Astyanax mexicanus: one gene and its partner. The protein of the gene in region 1 binds, or shares a complex with, the protein of each later gene. Links are inferred from orthologs where the notes say so. Each region holds a gene or a part of one and is shown on either strand. Other genes may lie near its edges.

Region 1 (7,391 bases):
CCTGCTATAACACACACTATAACACACCCTGATTCATCACACCTGCTATAACACACACTATAATACACCCTGATTTATCACACCTGCTATAACACACAGTATAATACACCTGATTTATCACACCTACTATAACACACACTATAATACACCCTCATTCATCACACCTGCTATAACACACACTATAACATACCCTGATTTACCACACCTGCTATAACACACACTTTAATACACCCTCATTCATCACACCTGCTATAACACACACTATAACATACCCTGATTCATCACACCTGCTATAACACACACTATAATACACCCTGATTCATCACACCTGCTATAACACACAGTATAATACACCCTGATTCATCACACCTGCTATAACACACACTATAACACACCCTGATTCATCACACCTGCTATAACACACACTATAATACACCCTCATTCATCACACCTGCTATAACACACACTATAACATACCCTGATTCATCACACCTGCTATAACACACACTATAATACACCCTGATTCATCACACCTGCTATAACACACAGTATAATACACCCTGATTCATCACACCTGCTATAACACACACTATAACACACCCTGATTCATCACACCTGCTATAACACACACTATAATACACCCTCATTCATCACACCTGCTATAACACACACTATAACATACCCTGATTCATCACACCTGCTATAACACACACTATAACACACCCTGATTTATCACACCTGCTATAACACACACTATAATACACCCTGATTTACCACACCTGCTATAACGCACACTATAAAACATACTAATAATACACAGACCATAACACACACTAATATATAACACCCTGATTTATCACACCTGCTATAACACACAGTATAATACACCCTTATTCATCACACCTGCTATAACACACAGTATAATACACCCTGATTCATCACACCTGCTATAACACACACTATAACACACCCTGATTTATCACACCTGCTATAACACACACTATAATACACCCTGATTCATCACACCTGCTATAACACACACTATAACACACCCTGATTTATCACACCTGCTATAACACACACTATAATACACCCTCATTCATCACACCTGCTATAACACACACTAATATATAACACCCTGATTTATCACACCTGCTATAACACACACTATAATACACCCTGATTCATCACACCTGCTATAACACACACTATAAAACATACTAATAATACACAGACCATAACACACACTAATATATAACACCTTGATTTATCACACCTGCTATAACACACACTATAATACACCCTCATTCATCACACCTGCTATAACACACACTATAACATACCCTGATTTACCACACCTGCTATAACACACACTATAATACACCCTGATTCATCACACCTGCAATAACACACACTATAAAACATACTAATAATACACAGACCATAACACACACTAATATATAACACCCTGATTTATCACACCTGCTATAACACACAGTATAATACACCCTGATTCATCACACCTGCTATAACACACAGTATAATACACCCTGATTTAACACACCTACTATAACACACACTATAATACACCTTGATTTATCACACCTGCTTTAACCTCTTGAGACCCGACACAGCAATTAACCCAACTAAACACACCAATTAACTCATCTATAACACATCAATTAACAATTATAACACACCCATTAACCGAAGAAAAAACACAGCAATTATCCCAAAGAAAAACACAGCAATTAGCATAGTTATAACATATAAATAAACCCAACTATAAACAGTAATGAATATAGCTATAACACAAGAGTAAACCCAAATAGCACAGCATTAAACACAGTTTTAACTCACAAATTAACCCAACTGTAACACATCAATCAACCCAAGTAGAACACAGCAATTAGCATAGCTATAACATATAAATAAACCCAACTATAACACAGCATTTAACACAGTTATAACACACAAATTAACCCATCTAATGTACCCCTAAATTAACCCATATAATATAGACAATCCATCTCATTATATCACATCAATAAATATAACTATAGTTAACACACCAATTAACCCAAGAAAAACACTTAAATTAACCCAACTATAACACAGCAATTAACACAGTTATAACACACCAATTAACCCAAGAAAAACACTTAAATTAACCCAACTATAACACAGCAATTAACACAGTTATTAACCCAAGAAAATTGTCAAAGCTATAACACAACAATTAACCCAACTATAACACATCAATTAAACTATCTATAACACCCCAGTTAACTAAACTAAATCACATCAATTAACATAGCTATTAACATGTATATAACACACCAATTAACCCAACTATAACACAGCATTTAACACAGTTATAACACACCAATAGACACAACTGTAACAGATCAATTAACCTAAGTAGAACGCACCAGATAACCCACCTATAGTACCCCAATTAACCCAACTAGAATACAGCAATTAACCCAAATAAATCATATCAATTAACAAAGCTGTTAACATGTATATAACATATCAAATATATTTAACTCTGTTAACTGTGCTGTAACTGGGGAAAACACAGACTGTAACACTTACCTGATTTTTTTGTTTATTCCACTCTATTTTGTTGTAACCTTTCTTCCTCTCCTTTACTTCCCCAATTCAATCTGCCCAGCTGGACTCTACCGGTCTTTCTCTCTCTCTTTCTCTCTTTCTCTCTCTCTCTCTCTCTCTCTCTCTCTCTCTCTCTGGAAGTGTTGGTCAGTAGAGCAGCTGTCCTTCTCAGAGAACAAATATAGACAATGCATGTCACTCATTAAGGGGGGAGGATCACAGTGTGTGTGTGTTTGTGTGGACAGTTTGATGTCTGTATAGTTGGTCATAATGAAGAATGTATTTAATCTGTGTAGGTTATTGTTTTATTACAGTATTAGATTAGTTATAAATGCTGATAGAAGAAGCTTTGATGGATCAGTAAGTGAATGACCTGTGGTGTCACCTTACAGCCTGAACCCAACCCAGCCGCTCAGCCGGGTCACTGCCGACCCTGTCAGGACTGGACACACACACACACACACACACACATACCAACACTGAGGACTTAGTTTAGCTTCACCACTTACTCAGGGGGTCTGCAGTGGGACCCCTATAATCTATTATATACCGGGTCCAACATAGTGGAGAACATATTAATACTGGACTCCTACGCACTGGATTAAAAAAAACCTTTTTTGACTCAATTAATTAAAATATAAAAGTTAAACAGGTTTATAGAAACATGGCATTCTCAATTTATAGAGGTTCAATCACAAAAACAGCTTAAAGAAAATAAAGTAAATTCAACACTAACAGTAAAATCCTGTACAAAAAAGCGTGAACACTGTACTGTAGCACGAGGTAAAAACACAGCAACACCTCAGCAACACAGAACAAAAGTAACTTGCTCTTACAGCCTACAACACTGAGGCTGGAAGCTACTCAATTTATAAAAAAAATTACAGCAGCATATGAACAAAGCAGAATTCCTGGTTTCAAAGCACCCCCTGCCCATCACAGGGTTTCTTATTATTAAATCATTACAACTGACCTTAACTGAGGCAAGTGAGACCTTTAGATTGTTCTAGGGATCTCCTGGATGAGTTGTCTTTGCCCTTTTGTAGTAATTAATAGGTATGCACTTATATTATTTGTAAGCAACATTAGCCTCATAATTTCAGTGCTAATTTGTAGGTAAAAGCTTATATTACCTGTTAGAAACATCAGCTTCTTAACTCCAGTGCTAATTGATATGTATAAGCTTTTATTTCTTGTTAACTATATTAGCTTTACAGCTTTAGTGCTAATTAGTAGGTATTAGTTATATTATTTGTTAGCTATATTAGCTTTACAGCTTTAGTGCTAAATAGTAGGTGCAGGCTTCTATTATTTGTTAACTACATTAAGTTTGTAGCTTTAGTGCTAATTACTGGTTAGCTACACTAGCTTCATAACTCCAATGCTAATCAATAGGTATAGGAAGCTTATATTACCTGTTAGCTACATTAGCTTCATAACTTTTGTGCTAATTAGTATGTATATACTTCTTTTACCTGTTAGCTACATTAGCTTCATAGCGTTAGTGCTAATTAATAGGTATAAGCTTATATTACCTGTTAGCTAGCTACATTAACTTCGTAGCTTCAGTACTAAGTGATTATTATATGCTTCTATTACCTGTTAGCTACATTAACTCTGTAGCTTAATGCTAATTAATAGGTATACATTTCTATTACTTGTTAGCTACATTAGCTTTGTAGCTTCAGTGCTAATTAGTAGGTATATGCTTCTGTTAGCTACATTAGTTTCATAACTTCAATGCTAATTAGCTTCTACTATTTGTTAGCTACATTACCTTAAAAACTTCAGTGCTGATTAATAGGTATAAACTTCTATTACCTGCTAGCTAACTTACATTAGCTCTGTATCTTCAGTGTTGGTTAATAGGTATACGATTCTATTTCCTGTTAGCTACAATAATTTGTAAACGTCAAAAATAAAGAAGTAGATTTTCCATCAAACTCATTCATTTTAATATTAAGGTAGTGCACATATTCAGGTTCAGAAAGACTGTTGCTTTATGCATCATATTTCTCACAATCAGGTGAGTTTTTATTACATTATTTATTAGATTATTTATTATTTATTACATTTTTTTTATATTACTTTATTATAAAAAACACTAAAACAGACAAAAATAAAAACAGATACAGGGTGTAAAGTCACATCCAATAACACATCCAGAGAGTTCCTGCGGTGATGAGCTTCCATCTGCTGTCTTTACAGCACCTGTTCATGTTCATATACACCCCCAACACCCTCACAGCCCCACAGTCTTCAATAGTGCACTACAGCAATGGTCCCACAGAACTCTGAACAACTACGGACGTCCAGAAACGAGAAGGTGTTTTCACATCTGAAGGTTTGTGTGTTTCTTAATTGTATTCTGTATAATTAATCCAGTTAGTCTTTATTATTTTTTTATTCATTTCAGAATTATTTTATTTCTGTTTATAAATAAGGGTTAATCTACAGTTACAGTAGATACAGAATCACCAGCACCGTAATCTATAGTACCCATACTGCTGCGTGACGCTTCTGCACATCACCAAGGAGAGCCAGACTTTAGCACAACACTGCTTATTTATTTATTTTTGACATTGCTCATGTGTGTTACCTGGCTCAGGTAAATTGCTTGATTCAGGTATGCTTCCTGATTCAGGTGTTACTGTATTAATAACATTTCTTAAAGCGTTTTCACACCAGCAGTATTTGTATCCTTAATGCGGTTTGACCGAGCAGGTGTGATCAAGACCTGCTAGAGAAGGTCTGATATATTAGCCAGATAACGCTAATTACCACAGCTACGAACAAACGCTGTCTCTGCTGCTCCATGCTGTTTACGCACAAGGTCTGTGCTGTGTTCATTGCTGTGCAGCTGTGATTTGAAAACACAGTTTGAAAAAGGAGTGTTTCCGTGTTCAGTCTTAAAGCAGCTTTACACTGCACAGATATACAGATGTACAGATCTTCTCACTATATTTACTTTTTAACTCCCGCACAGACAGCTTTGACCAATCAGAGAAGATGATGTCCTTGCATGGTTTATTGGTGCATATTTTAGTGAGTTTAGGTTTTATGCCTGTGTGAAACCAAACCAAACCAAAGGGGGAAAAAACGTCCAAATAAACAAACTCATCAACTGATTCTGACCATAAAAAACTAAGCACAGGTGTGAAAACGGCATTAGAGTTTGTAGGGTTGTTGATTATGCCCGCAAATGTTGTTGAAAAATGTTGAACTCGGTTTGTTCTGAAATTCAATGAGGGCCGAATCCAAGCCCAGATTACATATATAGCTTCCAGTGGCCTTAAAGGGCTTGTAGGTGGAGCTTCTCCACATTATTGTTATTGATAGCTTCTTCTTTGTGTGTTGTTCAACTAGGTTCAAGTGTATACCAATGTAGTACAGGTGTTACATTGCCCATGTGTGTTTTACCTCGCTGTAACAATTGAAATTCACATGTACTGGTGAACACCTGTACAGCTCAGGTGTGTGCTTGGGGGTTTATTAAAAGTTTATTGTAAATATTTGGACTAAAGTTCAGTGAGGGCCGAATCCAAGCCCAGTTCACACATCTAGCTCCCAGTGGCCTTGCTTTGGAGCTCAAGCGAAGAGATTGTGGGTGGAGCTTCTCCGTCGCTACCTTCTGCGATGTCTGACCTGTCGTGACCCCGGCCCTCCTCCCGCTCCTCCACCAGCCTCTGCAGGTGCTTGATGTAGCGAATGGCGGCCCTCAGTGTCTCTACTTTGCTCATGCGCTTGTCGGCGGTCCCGCCCGGCAGGTGGTCTCGGAGCTTGGCATAACCCTGGTTGACGCACTTCACCCGCTGCCGCTCGCGCTCGTTTCGCTTCTGGATGAAGGCGGGTTCGAAGGGACACTCGTACAGGGGCCCCAGGTAGGGCAGGTAGGGGCCGTTGTAGAGTCCGGCCTGGACCCTTCCTGGGTACAGCAGCAGGGGGAGGGAGCGAAGCTGGGCGTGGAGGCGGTTATCAGGGTGGCCACCAGGCGGAGACATGGCGCAGTGCAGGCTGCTCTGGCTGAGGTGGCAGTATGGGTGGGAGAAGGTGGAGCTCATGGTGGGTTTTACATCAGTCCATTCCCACCTGAACACTCCTAATACACCTACAGTACCAGAACCACAGAACCAGAACCTACTGTCACAACAAGCATTAAAAAAATAAATAAAAAACACTCAATTAACTCATAGTTAAGCCCAGCAGAGGGCGCACCAGAGCCCCAGCTTCATCGTCCTCATCATCTTCTTATAGTCATCCTCACTGTCTCTTCACACCTTTGTAGGTGAGCTCCTCCTTTGTAGCAGCAGCAGTGCCATCAGCCAATCAGACGCTTTCATCATCTCCTCTCTGTTAGACACAGGGCTGAAGATTAAACACACACAGATTAGACTGATTACAGACGGCCTCAGGCTCCATTAATCCTTATAAAACACTTCAAACGTGCTGTTCTGCGCACTCTGTAACACGATACGCTGTAATATACTGTAATATAACACTCTGTAAAAGCACCTGAAGGCAGGAGTCGGTTTGATGTAAAATATCACTTTAGTTCACATAAAAAACCCAAACTACACACTGACCACAAACCACAGTGTCTATCACACTTACATTAAACACATTAAACAACAACCTTGTCTACATACAGTACAGACAGTACAGTATAAACGCATGGTATTTCATATTTTATCTGCTTAACTTAATTGCATTTGTTTATATATTTTAGCATTTCTGGCGTTCAAAACATTACAAGCCAAGTTAGAATCTGGCAGTTT
Region 2 (8,010 bases), on another chromosome or scaffold:
TGAGTAATGATTTGCATTATAATGGGTAGGTTTGCCACAATAGCTAATATATTGCCCCAGAGCAAATGGTGATAAATAATATTACTGTCACTTTAAGAGCATTTTATGCCCCTGGTATAATGATTAAATCATGGTATAAGAATACAATTACACTCTTTTGAAAAGAAATTAGCTTTTATACAACCAGAACAGTGGATGTGTGAAAGCTAATGTCAACACTGCCCTCTAGTGTTCAGGATTTAAAACTCAACACAAAATGAATCTGAGTCTGATAAGTTTATGCCACTCCTGATGCAAAAATTCAAGCAGTTGAGCTTGGTTTGATGGCTTCTGATTATCCATCTTCCTCTTGATTATATTCCAGAATTTTTCAATTTGGTCAAATTAAAGAAACTCATCATTAATTTTATGCGGTCTCTTATTTTTCTCCAGAGCTGTATATAATTTTTTGATGGTGATGATGAGATAGATGATGGTGAAAGTACTTCTGGTTTCTGCTTAATATTATGAATACCATCCTTCTCAATTTTATCCTAACATCCTCCCCATATCACAGGGGTACAGCAGATGAACAGATGGCGCTTACCTGGCGCTTAATGAAGCTGGACGTGGTGTCAGAGGAGGTGCTGCCATCCGAGCGTTTAAAGCGGCTTTTGCGTTTTGGCAACTTTCTCGGCAACTACATAAAAAAATACAAATTACATCTCAGAAAATGGGAAACATCTTCACAAAAACATGTGTTTTTCAAAATTTGGTAATTTGTACAAGATTTGAGGCCTAAAACCCTAAATGCAGGTGAAATAGGCCTATAACAAATATGAAGACTGGAACAGTAAAATTTATGAAGGCACAGTACATGTCTTAACAATAGCCACTGACAATATATTTTTATATATACATTTTTATATATCATATATAATATATATATATTTTTATATATTATATATATATGTATTTTGTTTGTCAGTAAACTGCTGGTTGAATTTGTATAAGACGGTGAAATAAAGTTTTTATGCTGCTATTACAATTATTTCACAAATTGTGCCATCCCTTCGAAAACCATTTTTTTTCCCACACAAACCACCTGTGCACCTGGGAATTAAATCTCACACCAACGTAACCTGTCTGGTATTACTATAATTCATCATTCTTTCTGTTTGCACCAAAAAGTCACTTTTAGTAGGACAGTAGTAAACTTTAGCTATATATATATTTTTTATAGCAAGCAGCTCCCTTCAACCTTACAAGCAGTTTTTACTGTATATTTAACACAGTGCCAGCATAACCTTATATTTCAGTTAAGGAAAAGTGCAAAATATGAAAATCACTGCAACATAAAAGAGTTTTTTTTGACAAAAACACAAGCCTATCTAATAAGATCCACCTGGCAGCATATCTATATGCAATTCTTTTTTGAAAATCACATTAAAATAGTCATTTGGATCAACAGAATTAATTAAATAAAGCCATTTCCTAGCATCTCACGTTTCACAGATGAATCCTACAAAACAGTTTTCTAATAACCTGCTTTAATAAATTAATGTAAACAGTCAGGGTTTAACCCCTGTGGGTCTGGCTTAACTAAAACCTAGAAACCTCATTTATTATGAGACATTCACATGCCTGATCTTGGTCCTGGTGCCTTGTTGCCCTGCTTTTACACACCACTGCTGCTTTAAAAAGGCTTATAAAAGATCTGGGGCGGTTTTCCCAAAAGGTTGAGCAAGCTTTACACTGAGCTCTTTCTCTTTCTGTTAAAATGTTTTTAATGCTAAGATGCTTTTGGGAAACTGGGCCCAGACTGGTTGAATCAGGTGTGTTGGGATCAGGGACAGTGATGAATATGTGCAGGGCAAGGAGGCACTGGGACCAGGGTGGAGGAACACTGGTTTAGGTCGAGCTTCACAGGAGGAACCTGCAGATAAAGCCTCCCTGCAGCCAAACTTCAGCCTGTGTGTTTACTGGGAGCGGTGGAGCCTCCTGCTGACTGGTGTGGATGGTGTAGAAGGAGGGTGCTGCTGCTGCTGATGATGATGCTTACAGGTGAAGAACTTTAAGTGATAAACGAGGTGAAGATGGATGGAGCTGTTTTTTCTTCTGAAAGAGGACAATTGTGAAGTGTTTTTTCGTGTATAAACACAAACACACACTCTCGTACCTACACACACACAGATAAGCTACACAAGCTAGTCAGCTAATTCCCAGCACAGCAGTGATGGAGGCCTCAGAGCTGCGGAGGAAATCTCAGCCCTTAGCTAAAGTGAGCTTCACCGGGTTAAACCGGGCTATAGGGCCGCTTCTCCTATCCCTGCGCCCGTAAAGGGCCGCGGTGCGGTAACGGCGGGTCTGGCAGCGTCTGCACGCCGCGGCTGTGGATCCAGCCCCCGGTAGGAGACGCTGCTGCTGCCCCGGAGCTCCAGCCCCAGCCAACCCAGAGCTGGAGAGACCCTCCCCGCGGCGGTAGTACAAGCGAGCGGCCCCGGCTACACCTACCTGAAAATAGTGGGACTGGGAGCCGGTCTCGGTACCGGGCAGCGGGTCTGCGGCCGATTTGGACATTTTCACTTGGACCATGTATCTGCGCGCGCAGGGCGGCGGGCGAGGGGCTGAGCGGAGGAGGCGGAGGGAGCGCGCACATTCGGGGGGAGCGGAGCGAGCATCCGCCCGCAGGAGCAGCGCTGGAGCCGGGAGAGAGCGGGTCTGATCCGCCGCGGAACCATTAAAAACCCGGAGCCCGGGGAGCACAGAGACCCAGCGCCGAGAGAGAGAGAGCCGAGCGATAGATCCGCATCCTCTCTCTCTCTTTACACCTCTCTATCTCTACCACTCTCTCTATCTCTACCTCTCTCACTCTACCACTCACTCTCTCTCTTTCTCCATCTCTCTCTACCTCTCTTACTCACTCTCTCTTTCTCTATCTCTCTCTACCTCTCTTACTCACTCTCTCTCTACTATCTCTCTACCTCACTCTCCCTACCACTCTATTTCTCACTCTCTCTTTACCAGTCTCTCTCCCTACTTTTACCACTGTCTCTATCTCTACCGCTCTCGCACTCTCTCTCTCTTACTTTTCTTTGTTTTAGAACTTAAAATGTGTGTGTGTGTTTTTTTTAGATATTTCGTATAATAAAGAATATTCCAGTTCCTTTCTAATACAACATCATGAACAATAAGTATTATAATAAATAAAAGATTAAAATGAAGAGAAAACACATCATCACCCCAAATTATATCCCCATCCAGTCCAGTGATTCAAACTGGAAGCAAATTCAGGTATATTTTACAGTTTTTCTGGATTGTTTACACACAATTTCTGGTACTTGAGACACTATGACCACAACATGTAACTTACACACCTACTGCTTGAACCAGTTCTGCTAAACTACAAGCACAATTCCTGATTTACACTCAAATTGCAGTTATAAAAAACACACTTTTTCAAAACACATACACAATTTTCTGCATTTGGCACAATTTTCCTGAATAAAATCTCTTGTTTTCACAAGGAACACACTGTTATTCAAAACTTTAAAGTTAATTACCCTACTATGCACACTGACTGGTCACATGGGCAAACACCCTTCACACAGGTTTACAATCAGCAACTTAAGCTTTAGCAGACCGAAACAGAAGACAGGATGCAGCATAGTTTTACATTATACAATAAATTCTTCTGTTGTTTTGTATGTAAACCACTGCATCTTTGTGGTGGTTGCATGGTACACTGTGTACATTGTTTTGGTTGGAAAAATAAAATGTATTTTTACTGTATATTTCTGTGTTCTGAGTATAAAAACGATATTATTAAATATTTTACAACGCACTTATGTATTTACTGTCTGTAGTAAGTGTAAAACTGAACAAAAAGTCATTATGATAAATGGAGAATAGTGTTTTACACTGAGAACATCAGTGTTCAACTGCTTTTTTAGCTTGTCTTTTTATATGATGGTGTGTGTGTGTGTGTGTCATCTGAACACAAAATACCCTTTTGTAAAGAGATAACACTTTTGAATGTAAAGTTTTATTTTGCAGGAGAACTGAAGGGTTTTGCCCATTGTGTGCGTGTTTGTTGGATTTGTGTGTAGAGTTCTGTGAATATGAGGCATGTTTTCAGAAAATGTGTGTAAACAATTCAGAAAAACTGTAATGGAATGGTTATTGGTTCTTTTAATCCTAATCGAATTGCGAGGCTTTGTTTTAATCTTGTTTCATAGCACCATCTGGTGTCCTCAAGACTGTATTACTAGAAATCCATACTGTTTTATTTTAAAGGGACTGAAAACACTTTCTAAAATATTACACTGAATATCTTCATACTTACCTGAGATAAATTTAGTCCTGTCATGCTAAAATTTCACATAGATGAAAACGATCAAAGGAAATTAAAACATATCTTTGAAACAAAACAAGGTCATAAATAACAGTTCAACAACTGCAACCTAAGCGATAGGTTTACTACAATTGTCCACCCTGTCGTGCAGGTTGCCATAACATGGTGAATGTATGCATGACAGGAAAATAAAAAGGCCAAAAGGCACAGTATTCTGATAATGAGCAGCTGAGGGACAAGTGACTACATCAGGATAATCTCTGAAGAATAGCTCCTTCCGTCCAAACGGAATCTCAGACCAGGGAGACAGCTTACCTTTCAACATCACAACAGCCTAAAGCACAACACGTACAACACTGAAGCAGCTTCAGGATAAGACTGTGTATATCCTTCAGTGATGCTGCCCCAGCCTAGACATAAACCACAATCGCACTTCTGCTATAGTCTGAAAACATTTGGGTTTAACATTAAAAGATGTACATAAGACAAAAGATAAAAAAAATAGATTTTTTTCCCCCAGATATTTCCATCTGGATCTGATATCTGACAGTTCAGAAGATAGCCCTTTTTTTAATGAATTTAGTTGTAATTCTTTGTTTGCAGTTACATCACTAACCATGTGCATTCTTCTTTCATTGTAGCAAGTTTAGGTGGGTTAGTTTTGGGGAGGTTTCTCCCTTTAGTCTTCTCTTTAGCAAGAAAAATGCATGATCTAAAGGGTTAAGTCTTGAGATTGACCCGGCCAGTCTAAAACCTTTTACTTATGACTTCCGGTATGGCGCCGACACTAGCAGCAGCTTAAGTTTCAGGCTCCCAGACGGTCTTACTCCCCCTTCAACAAATACTGAGGATTCAAGTAGATTTTTTTTTCTTTTTATGCCATGAAAGGGGGGCACAAGAGAAAGACAAGAGGAAATTTGGATCAAAACCCCAAAACGGACGACAAACCCTCGAATGTAAGTGAAAACGCCAGCGACGACGCTAGCAATCTCACCGAGTATCAAGCTATGGAAGCTATCCAAGCTAACATCATTACTGAGATAAAGGAGATCCGTTCGGACGTGAAAAAAGAACTCGGCGAAACTGTGCTTATGTTGAAAAAGGAACTGGTGGGCTTTAGAGAAGAAGTCAATCAGAAGCTGAACTCTATCAGATCTGACCTGAAAGAAATAACTGGTAGAGTCGAGGAGACGGAGCAGCGAGTAGCCGAAATGGAGGAGTGGAGCACCGAAGCTAAGCAGGTGCTCTCCCACACTTTGGAGCTCCAGGAGAGCATTCAAGCTCAGCTAACAGACCTAGAGGCGCGCTCACGCAGAAATAATATACGCATACATGGGATTGTGGAGGGAGCCGAGGGAGAGAATATGGAGGTATTTCTGGAAAAGTTTATCACAACAGAGTTGTCCCTCCCCGACGCTACCCTCGGTATACAGCGCTCCCACCGGTCTCTCGGACCCAAACCACCGCAAGGCTCTAACCCGAGGTCTATAGTGGTCTGTTTCCAGGAGTATAAAACCAAAGAGCTGGTGCTCCGCTCCGCTTGGAAAAAGAAGGAGATACACCATAGTGGCAGAAGGGTGTTTTTTGAGCAAGACTACCCGTCTGAAATACTGGGAAAAAGAAAAGCCTTTTCCACAATCAGGAAAGCGCTTAAAGAAAGGGGGCTCCGTTTCCAGACCATTTACCCAGCGAAACTCCGGGTCTTTTTGGACACCGGACCAATTGTTTACAACAGCGCTGCGGAGGCGAGAGAGGATCTGAAGAAAAGAGGAATAGACTCTCTTGAAGCTGAGGTCACTGAACGAGGCGCACACTCGTTGAGAATGAAAGATCTCTCATGGGAACCAGCGGGAGGAACATCACGCAGGCAACGCGAGGCTCGATTTAGGCATATTCAGGAGAAGCTGAAGGGATTCCGCCACCATGCCGATACTACACGAGAGCCCGCAAACATTTAAAGAACTGGATAGCTTCCCATAACATCTGGTAAAAGCACTTATTTAGTAACTTGAACACTTTGGACACTGAAATATAAAACTTACGTGAGAATTTCCTGTTATAAGCCCAAACTTTGAAACTGACCGTATGTCTGGTGATTGATGTTTGCGTTTTATGTGCACTGTTCTGATGCCGAACGGCCAGAAATACCAGATCGCACAGGGAAGGGCCCCTCTAGGTCGTAGGGCTTCCCTTCCTAATTCAGAAGTTGAGTTCATACTTCAGAAATGGAAGTCACTTTTGTTGAACTTGTGTATTAGTCAGTTAAGTTTCCTTTTATGTTTCAGGCAGATTCATTGTTCAAAGCATCTAGTGATATTTAAATACTGTGGTAAAGAGTTTTTCATTCTTTGACAAGGGAAATGCATCATCAAAAATATAAAATAATTACTCTTAATGTGAACGGGTTACATAATCCTATCAAACGAAGTAAGGCAATATCTAAAATGAAAAAAGAAAAACATGATATAATTTTTTGGCAGGAGACACATCTTTCGAATATTGAACATGAGAAGTTGCGAAAAATGGGATTTAAAAACCTATATTATTCTTCTTTTGAAAAGAAAAACACAAGAGGGGTAGCTATACTTATCCCAAACAGAATTAATTTCCAGTTTTCATCACAGATTATCGATAAAGAGGGACGTTACATAATGGTGAAGGGACTTCTTGATCACAAAGAAATTACATTGCTGAATGTATACAGACCACCAGGTAGCGATAAAAAACTGATTAAGAAGATTTTTAATATGATATTGTTAGAAACATCAGGGGTGCTGATATGTGGTGGGGACTGGAATATTCATTTACACCCCTCCTTAGACTCCTCAAGTAGAATAAAGACTATAAACCCTGATGCAAAATACATTAATAAATTACTTAAAGAATCGGGTTTGGTAGATATGTGGAGGGATCTTCATCCACTTGATAAACATTTCACTTTCTTTTCCCATGCGCATTCCGTTTATACAAGGATTGATTATTTTTTCATGTTTAACTCAGACAGACATAGGATTCTGAACTGTGAAATAGGGATAAGAGACATCTCTGACCATGCAGGTGTATATTTAACATTACATTTGGACAATATGCCCAAGGAGACTGCATGGAGGCTTAACACCAGTGTTCTGAATGACCCTCAGTGTGTAAAATATATAAAGAAAGAATTTGAAGACTACATGATTAATAACAATAATGAAACAGTAAGCCCCAGCATATTGTGGGATGCTGCAAAAGCTGTAATTAGAGGTAAACTTATAATGTGGACAGCTCAAAAACAGAAGGAAAGAGGAAAAGAAATTAGAGATTTAACCGAAACATTAAAACACCTGGAAAGTAAACACATGATACATAATGAAGCTAGTGTTTTAGATCAGATTCGAAATACAAAGCAACATTTAAATGAATTGTATGAAAATAAAATAGAGCAGAAATTGAAACTAATTAAACAAAATTATTATGAGAATGGCCCAAAATTCAAAAAAATATTGGCATGGAGATTGCGTAAACAACAAGCAGAGAGATTTATACAAAAAGTAAAGGACCCCCAGACTAATAAAATGTGTGACAAAATGGAAGACATACAACATTCTTTTGAAAAGTACTACACAAAGTTATATGCCCAACCCTCAGCAGCTGAATTAGAAGACACATTACAATTTTTGATGTCTTTGGACTTA

The links. Proteins that work in one complex are often made in the same cells at the same time.
Region 2: cacna1sa (region 1) and cacnb3a share a complex: the UniProt entries of both Homo sapiens proteins name them as parts of the calcium channel complex. The link is inferred for Astyanax mexicanus from reciprocal best matches to the Homo sapiens genes CACNA1S and CACNB3.

What each region holds. Positions count from the first base shown.
Region 1 is NC_064431.1:32,300,943-32,308,333, forward strand, and holds the start of cacna1sa (calcium channel, voltage-dependent, L type, alpha 1S subunit, a), read right to left. Parts: upstream 3,047-7,391; 5' UTR 2,599-3,046; intron 1-2,598. Other genes in the region: achaete-scute homolog 5-like, read right to left, coding at 6,177-6,677. UniProt on the Homo sapiens protein: Pore-forming, alpha-1S subunit of the voltage-gated calcium channel that gives rise to L-type calcium currents in skeletal muscle.
Region 2 is NC_064420.1:16,644,560-16,652,569, reverse strand, and holds the start of cacnb3a (voltage-dependent L-type calcium channel subunit beta-3a), read right to left. Parts: upstream 3,142-8,010; 5' UTR 2,575-3,141; coding exon 2,494-2,574; intron 680-2,493; coding exon 587-679; intron 1-586. UniProt on the Homo sapiens protein: Regulatory subunit of the voltage-gated calcium channel that gives rise to L-type calcium currents. Increases CACNA1B peak calcium current and shifts the voltage dependencies of channel activation and inactivation.